2 linked regions of the Callithrix jacchus genome follow. The main gene of each other region encodes a partner of the protein of the gene in region 2 in a complex. Links are inferred from orthologs where the notes say so. Each region holds a gene or a part of one and is shown on either strand. Other genes may lie near its edges.

Region 1 (3,655 bases), on a different chromosome or scaffold from region 2:
AATCTTTTTGACCACACACACCTGCCGAGAAAGACCGTCAGCTTACCAACAATGATTCCAGGTCTCCTGTCCATCTCCACGATGTGAGGGTGGACCCCCTTATAGGCAGCATCGCTGACCACCTGGGTGTTCTTCCTCACTCTCTCTGTCACAGGATCGTCCACAACAGGAGTAAAGCCTCTCCCCTTTGTCTTTTCAAAATCTTCATGGTATTTTACCTGAAGAGGAAAAATCATCATGCTGAAAGTTGCTGATAGTCACCTATCTCATGACATTTTGATTAAATGACAGGTGTACACTGTACTGGCTGCATGCAGATTTTCTACATGTATGTATCTTTTCCAAATATTCCAAAACCACAGTCTGAAGCTTCAGTTTCTTAGCATCTGAAATCAAATGCTGATATTTTCACAATGTTTTTAATCATTATAGCTCATATCTATTTTAAATTATATACAAAACTACATATATTATTAGTGAGAGGTTGTAAAAGATACATATTCTCAAATCCTGGTTACTACCTAAAATATACTAACAAGTATAAATTAAATTTCCTATCTCTTAACCTTCAATATACAATAAAGTGATATCAATTTCCAGACAATCATTTATGAAAATGGCATTATTTAAAATTAGTTTAAAATTTTATAGGTTATGATATACACAATTTTTAATATAATTACAAAACTTATACTTCAAAATATACTATTTTCACATCCTGAAATTAGGTCCAGGAGACAGTTGTATAACTGTAAATTATACTAGAAACCACTGAATTGAACACTTTAAATGGGCAAACTTTATGGTAGGTGAATTACACCCGATATTATAATTTTTTAAAAACACACTTTTTTTCATATTCTTTTTGACATGCAAACAGACCAAATTCTGTCTTAAAATTAAATGGAAAGAAGTCTACAGAAAAGTCTTTCATATAATGCGTTTATAATACTCACATTAGAAACAAAGACACGCCAGAAAAAGTCACTGAGAAAAATGATTTTATTAGACCAAATATTTCCATTACATTTCAGTGTGATTAGAAATGCAGCCCCCACCCCACACACACACGAAGGTCAGGCCGACTGCGTTTCCATGCTTTGTTAGTTATCAGATTAATAGTGAAGTAATGCCATCAGTTCACTGGGTCCGGCCATTCCTTAGCATGCTTTAGTCATGAGAAGAATGATCTGGTTGCACCCTACCATTGAAATACGATTTTGTGCTTCTTTAACATGTCTCATAGCAGGTGTATCTAACATCTGACTTGGTCTACCTTTCATCTGTTTATGGTCCTGGGTATATTTTACCTGAAAAGTAAATAGTAGACATAAGGCAATGAAAGGAAAACGCAGGATATAACTTTTTTAAGCTTTATGAATGAGGGAAACATATGCAACATACTTGAAATTATTTTCCAGGTCACTTTTTCAGTGAATTAAATTTTGTTCTAGAATAGCAAAACTCAAATTTTACACTCAAAGATCGCCTTTAACACCTATTGCAAAATGACCTAAATCTATCAACTGAAAACAAATGTGTGAATGATCAAGAGTAACTATCTAATCTGTAAAACTGGGCAGGCCCAGTGGCTCATGCCTGTAATTACGGAACTCTGGAAAGCTAAGGTGGGAGGATTACTCCAGGCCTGGGGTTTGAGACCAGTCTGGGAGGCATCGTGAGGTTCCCCAACTCTACAAGTAAAAATTTTTTTAAAAATTAGTTGGGCTTGTGCCTGTAGTCCCAGCTACTAGAGAGGTTAAGACAGGGCAGCTGCTTGAGCCCAAAAATTCAAAGCTGCAATGAGCTATGATTGTGCTATTGCACTCCAGCCTCCAACAAAGACTGTGTCTCAAACTCAAACACACACACACACACACACACACACACACAACTGGTTATCATATTTAAGTTAAACAGAGAAAATCCAAAACTATTAAACAGAACCCAAAGTTATTTTGTTTCTAAATTTCCCCATTTTCTACCATAACACTATTGAAAAATGCATACAACCTACTCTCTATTTCTTTTCATTTCTTCTCTGCTTAGAGAGTAAGAAGCAATGAGGAACAAATTTCGTTGTTCTTCTAAGCAGACACAACTTAAAAGTAATTTATGTTAAATACACACAGCATCTCTGGACAGACATGCCACTAGGAAGCTGTAAACTGCAAAGGCCAAATGCTGATTCTCAGGCAAACAGCTATTCAAGGTGTGCTAAGAAAAGGGCCTGTGTTCTTAACAGCTGCCCATCAGAACACTGCCATTTATGAAACTGATTAGGTGTAAGATTTGGATACCACTTATGTTGACCTGAGGGCATTGTGTCCAATTCAGAATTGAAGCTCTGATATTCACTAAGAGGAAGCACAATATTCAAATAAGATGCTAATATGCACCACTGGACTTTAATGAGCAACTAAATTCTATGTTAAATGTATTTAAGGATTTTTTTCTCTAAGTCTTTAGTAAAAGTATTCACCTCCTATTCTGTTTTGCAGACAGCATTTGACAATACACATTCATCGAAATATTTCAGTAAAACGACAATTATTTAATGCACACATCAAAGGCGTTATCACTTTCAAAGACACTGGCTAAAACAGCATAAATCGCTGTTTAAACAAACACTTCTAAACAAAGCTTTGAATGTAACTCTTGGTCACATCTGGAAATACCAAAGAGTTGCAAGAGAATGTAAATGTACGCAGTGGCAGCTTTTGGACATCATCTGAAATAACACATGTATTTATTGGACATACCACAGATGTTTCTTGAAAATAAAGTTTCTTTTCACAAGCAAAAGAGGACTGCAAGTAAATAGTAAAAGACACATCCTTTGTGATAGTCTAAAATGAAGAAAACCACTTGCCGAGCTAATATTTTCTTGGTTCTTCTTCACTCTTTCCATTTCAGGGGTTACACTTAAAGCAGTAGCTCTTCCCAGCTGAGCTTTGTAATAAACCTATCATTTCAGAGAACAAAAAATAGACTACTGTGAATCAATTCGACTAAGAGACTTATTTATTTAAGACAGGGTCTTGCTCTGTCACCCAGGCTGAAGTGCGGTGGTGCAATCTCTGCTCACCACAGCCTTGACCTCCCAGGCCCAGGCAATCCTCCCACCTCAGCCTCCGAGGTAGCTGAGATTATGGGCCTGGCTAATTTTTGTATTTTTGTAGAGATGGACTTTCGCCATATTGTCCAAACTGATCTGAAACTCCTGGGCTCAAGTAATTCATCCACTTCAGCCTCTCAAGGTGCTGGGATGACAATCCAGAGGCACCGTGCCTGGCTCATAGTATTTAGTTTAATGCATTAACCAAGAAACTTTTGTAGGAAACTGCAAAAAATGAAGACATTTTCAGAGGTCGAGTCGTATTTAAAATGCCAGCATCTTAAATCAATCTATTTCGTTTCCTCCCATAAAAGAGTACACATGTCCAAATCACTTTGGATGTACTCAAATATATAGGCATACCATCAGTAAAGTTATAATAAGCATTTAATCACAAAAGAAATGAGAAGAAATGTCTTCATGGATATTACTTAAAAGTATTCACCGTAGACTCATACTATATGGCCATGGTTTCTTAGGAATTAACTCTGGCAGAATTTTTGTAAAGATGTGTTTAAATAGGTGACTGTGGGTGTC
Region 2 (4,215 bases):
CAGTGTCTATTACTGTCAAAGCTATGTTGAAATCCTGTGATTTAAATCACTATTGTCCAATAGACTGTTCTGCAATGTTGGAAACATTTTGTATCTGCACTAATACATAGCTACTGTCCACATGTGGAGACTGATTTGCTTGAAATGTAGCTGAAGAAATAAATTTTTAATTTTACCTAATTTTAATAAATTAAAATTTAAATGGCCACATGTGCCTAATAGCAATCATACTTTGAAGCAGAACTCTAAATGGTCTTTACTGGCTCCTGGCCCTGAACACTTTGTGGAGTATATAGAACACTATTTCAGAAACTTGTTCTTAGAGTTAATATGCTAGAATATCACTTCTTGACCTACTTTTAACAAAAACCAATATTGTATATGGAAAAATGTAATATACCTACTGATTGGTTAATAATATAGTAAACAGCTTACAAATAGGCATTTTATATGAGATAAAAGGTATATAGGTCAAATTTTTTTTAGCCAAAGGACAATTTCCTTTCTTTATTTGAGTTTGTTGTTAGATCACACCATACTAGGCAAGTCATAGAAGGGAGGAAAGATAAAGGAAGCTGGTTATTTTCTATTTACTGAGAAGGTACGAGATGTTGGCATTTTTGAGCCAAACAGCAATGCTCACTGGGTTCTGGGTCAGATTGGCAGCGTGTGCTTGGTAAGTCCTGGCAGCAAAGAACATTTAATATGTTTCTTTCAAGAGCATGTGAGGTGACTCCTTTTCCCGGCCTGCTCTTCCTCACGCTGAATGATTTAAAGCTAGGATTAATGAGCAGGACTCATACCGCAAGGGTGCTCTCTATTCTCTCTAGAATGTCTTTCCACCATTCTTCCTTTGCTTTTTTAAACTAACCCAGCACAGTCTTTACTTAAGTTAGCACTGGAGTAGCATTTTGCTTTATATGTGAAGTCTGACAAAACAAACTAATGTTTTACATATCTATGAACACATTGTCAAAAAAAAGCAATGTGTCCTCTTCACGAGAACCCCTGTTAATTATTCCACCAGAATAAATTGAAACTTTTTCCACCTGCTTTATTTTCATATTCTTGAGTCTTAAAAGATTGAAAGTTAAAAAAAATGCAAGTAATTCTGGGATGTTAATTCCTCCTTTTCCTCACTGGCACTGGTTCATTTGTAGACTTTGGACAGAAGTTCAGAGTTGGCTGGTGGTCGTGACTGCCAAAGAGAGTTTGATTGACTGCACATGTGTTAGAGCCACGCATACATTACTGAGGACACTATGAGGCAGAGTGGCCTCAGAGACACTTGTCTGAAAAGAGTACTTGACTCAGGCCCCACCTATACAGAGCTCAGTTACTAAAAATAGGTGCTAAGTTGCATCCTTTAGAAGCGCTGCTAAAATAAATTCAGCCGTCCCCTCTACTTGCTTGATAGACCCTTCAGTGGAGCGGGCCTCCACTGCACCCATTGCTTTCAGGGGACTGGGAAATTTGCTGTATATGAAACAAGGGAGGAAGCTAGTCTGTGAAGAACTATAAAGATTTAGGATACTTCCGCAAGCTTGGGGTTAAACCTAAATATCATAAAAGGTAAGTGTAATATAGTCGGTGACTATGTGTCTGCTTCCTGGATTGTAAAATGGTCTTGCTGGTCAGAAGACCATAGGTCAAATTGTAATTATTATAAAAGAAAATATCCAATTGGATTGTGCCTGTATGATAATATTTAGCATTGATTTAACAGGATAAAAATTTTGAGCTTCATATGTTCATCTCTTGGCAGAATAGCATTTTTCATATTTAATATTGAAGAATAATGAGCCAAACTTGATAAACAGTCATGAGTTAAAATTCTACTTCAACTTACAAATAGAAGGGAAGGCAGAGAAAAAATTAGTTTGCCACTTATGGGCAGAAATGAAATGAACATATTAAAAAATATAAATCGTATTTCACAGAATTTGTTGAGAAAGAGTTTACAACATTTTCAACTGTTGTAGCTTGCTCAGAGAAATGCATGAACATTATCGTTTTCCAGCCTTACTTTGCTTTTGTGGTTCTTGCTCCAGCCAGAGTCTCATCTCCTCTGGGAGTATTACTGGAGTAAGATTAAAGAATCAGGTTCTTACATGTTTTGCAGAATTAAGAAAAGCACTGCCAGTTGGGTCTGCCAGTCCTAATTATAGTAACTACAACCTTAAATAGAGAAGACTGAGATTTTACTTTAAAGATATCCTGCCCTATACACTGTTTCAAATGGATTTTTTTTTCTCTCTTCGATTGCCTGTGAGCACTTTAATTTGGTCCTATTGTGTCTTAAGTGTTTAGACGTTAGAGACTGAAGTGATTTGGGAGAGACATTTTAACAGAATCTCTTAAGACACCAACTAAAAGCAAGGACACTTTAAGATTACATAATACAGGGTTTTAATTTAGCCAGCTGGTGCTGAACCAAAAGATATTTTATTTTTACCAGTGCTCTATTTGGTCACTGACAAGCTGTAGATTGTTTGAATTATTTTAAAATTTTATGTGCAGTGTGTCAAAGAACAGGCAAAATATTTACCTTGGTGAGATTCATAGCCATGAATTTTAATATGAAAGAGCACCTGTTTTGAGTTTTAGAAGATAAGATTATTGAGTGCAAAAGTATTGGGTCAGAAATGAGAAAACGCTGAATTCTATGCTTAAGTATTTCTCTGTTCCTCTGCCTAATTTTTGCGTATTTTTTCTTCTGGCTAGCAACGTGTAAGCTAACAACTAGACCCACCCGTTTCTGAAAGTCAGTCCTCATTTCAGATGGCTGCACTGGCAAAGTACCAGTTGTTTGGGAAAAATGCAGTCTGGAGTTTGGGCTAAATATTTCTGCTTTCATCTTGTGTTGTGCACCTTTAAGATATAGCTTCCCTTAACCACCTGAAAAATAAAATGAGACATTCTTTTATGATCTCAGAGGGCTTTACTTGGGAAAATGTTCATAGAAAACTGTCAGTTCAGACATCATTTTATCTGTGATTACAGTGGAAGAGGACAGTGTTGCCTTTCTTCAGCTTTAATTTGGGGTTAAAATCCCACAAAGTTCATGGATAATGTACTGTTGTTCACAGTTGATACCTTCCCTCTATTCTATCAGTTCCAGCCTCTCACTTTACCTTTACCATGTTTAAAACTTTCTTCACCTTAGTATTCTTATTACTTACTCAGTAAAATACTACTTACAATGAGGCAATGTGGAGTTGGACACTCCTGGTAATGTCAATACTAGGAACTGATCTCTCTCTCTCTCTCTCTCTCTCTCTCTCTCTCACACACACACACACACACACACACACACACATACACACACACACACACACACATACACAAACACAACTCAGGGTATTAAAGAGACCATTTTGTAAGCCTTGTTTGATTGCTAGGAGTCATGTCTAGATTTAGTAATTTATAAAGCAGGGCAGACTCTTAATAAGTGCCCAGCCTATAATTCCAATATTTTTTATTAAACAATCTGTGAAGACAGAACTTAATTGACATTATATTGTCTTTTTTATTTTCTTCCCACCTCCTCTTATGAAAGCACTGAAGCTACACTCTGAAATTTAATTAAATTGTAATGTGTTTCTTCCTGCTTCTGAAACAAACACTTGCTCATTCAAATCATAGGTTCACCCCTCACAGAACAGTAACGTCAATTTTTAAATTAATTAATGACTTCTTTAGAGCACTGATTTATTCCATATAGGTGCATGTTGTTTATATGACTGTGTGGCATGTTGTATTATCTGTTTCCTGACACTAATTCTGATATTAAGTGTTGTGTCTTTTACAACATTAGCCAATTCTCTAAGTCTCTGACACCAACAGGCTGTCATTCAGTTCTGACACTAGATCTAGAGCTTGGCAAAGACTCCACACGTAGAAGGCTCAGTCCCATAAGGCTGCCTACTTCAGAAGACAACCACTAATGGAGTGCCCAGGCCACTAATCTTTCTGCCCATCTAACTAGTGATTAAGGGACCCTCACAACCCCCTCCTCAGATAATTCGCTAGAATGGCTCACGGAACTCAGAAAAATATTCTATTTGTTATTACTGTTATATTATAGAGGAACAGACAGATGGAAGAGATGCATAAGGCAAGGTGTGGTATTGAAGGGCAGAAGCACACAGCTACCTTGCTTTCTCCTAACAAGCCATCCCCAGCACCTGGGTGCCTTCATCAATCTGGCAGCTC

The links. Proteins that work in one complex are often made in the same cells at the same time.
Region 1: the proteins of XIRP2 (region 2) and NEBL are in contact, whole or in part, in a crystal structure (PDB 4F14), measured with the Homo sapiens proteins. The link is inferred for Callithrix jacchus from reciprocal best matches to the Homo sapiens genes XIRP2 and NEBL. Residues at the interface, in NP_689594.4 of Homo sapiens: Pro2420, Pro2421, Pro2422, Thr2423, Leu2424, Pro2425, Lys2426, Pro2427; in NP_006384.1 of Homo sapiens: Tyr963, Asp964, Tyr965, Asp969, Asp971, Glu972, Ile987, Asp988, Asp989, Gly990, Trp991, Met1004, Pro1006, Asn1008, Tyr1009.

What each region holds. Positions count from the first base shown.
Region 1 is NC_133508.1:21,399,977-21,403,631, forward strand, and holds part of NEBL (nebulette), read right to left. Parts: intron 2,966-3,655; coding exon 2,873-2,965; intron 1,311-2,872; coding exon 1,206-1,310; intron 219-1,205; coding exon 47-218; intron 1-46. UniProt on the Homo sapiens protein: Binds to actin and plays an important role in the assembly of the Z-disk. May functionally link sarcomeric actin to the desmin intermediate filaments in the heart muscle sarcomeres.
Region 2 is NC_133507.1:62,424,035-62,428,249, reverse strand, and holds the start of XIRP2 (xin actin-binding repeat-containing protein 2), read left to right. Parts: upstream 1-1,412; 5' UTR 1,413-1,572; intron 1,573-4,215.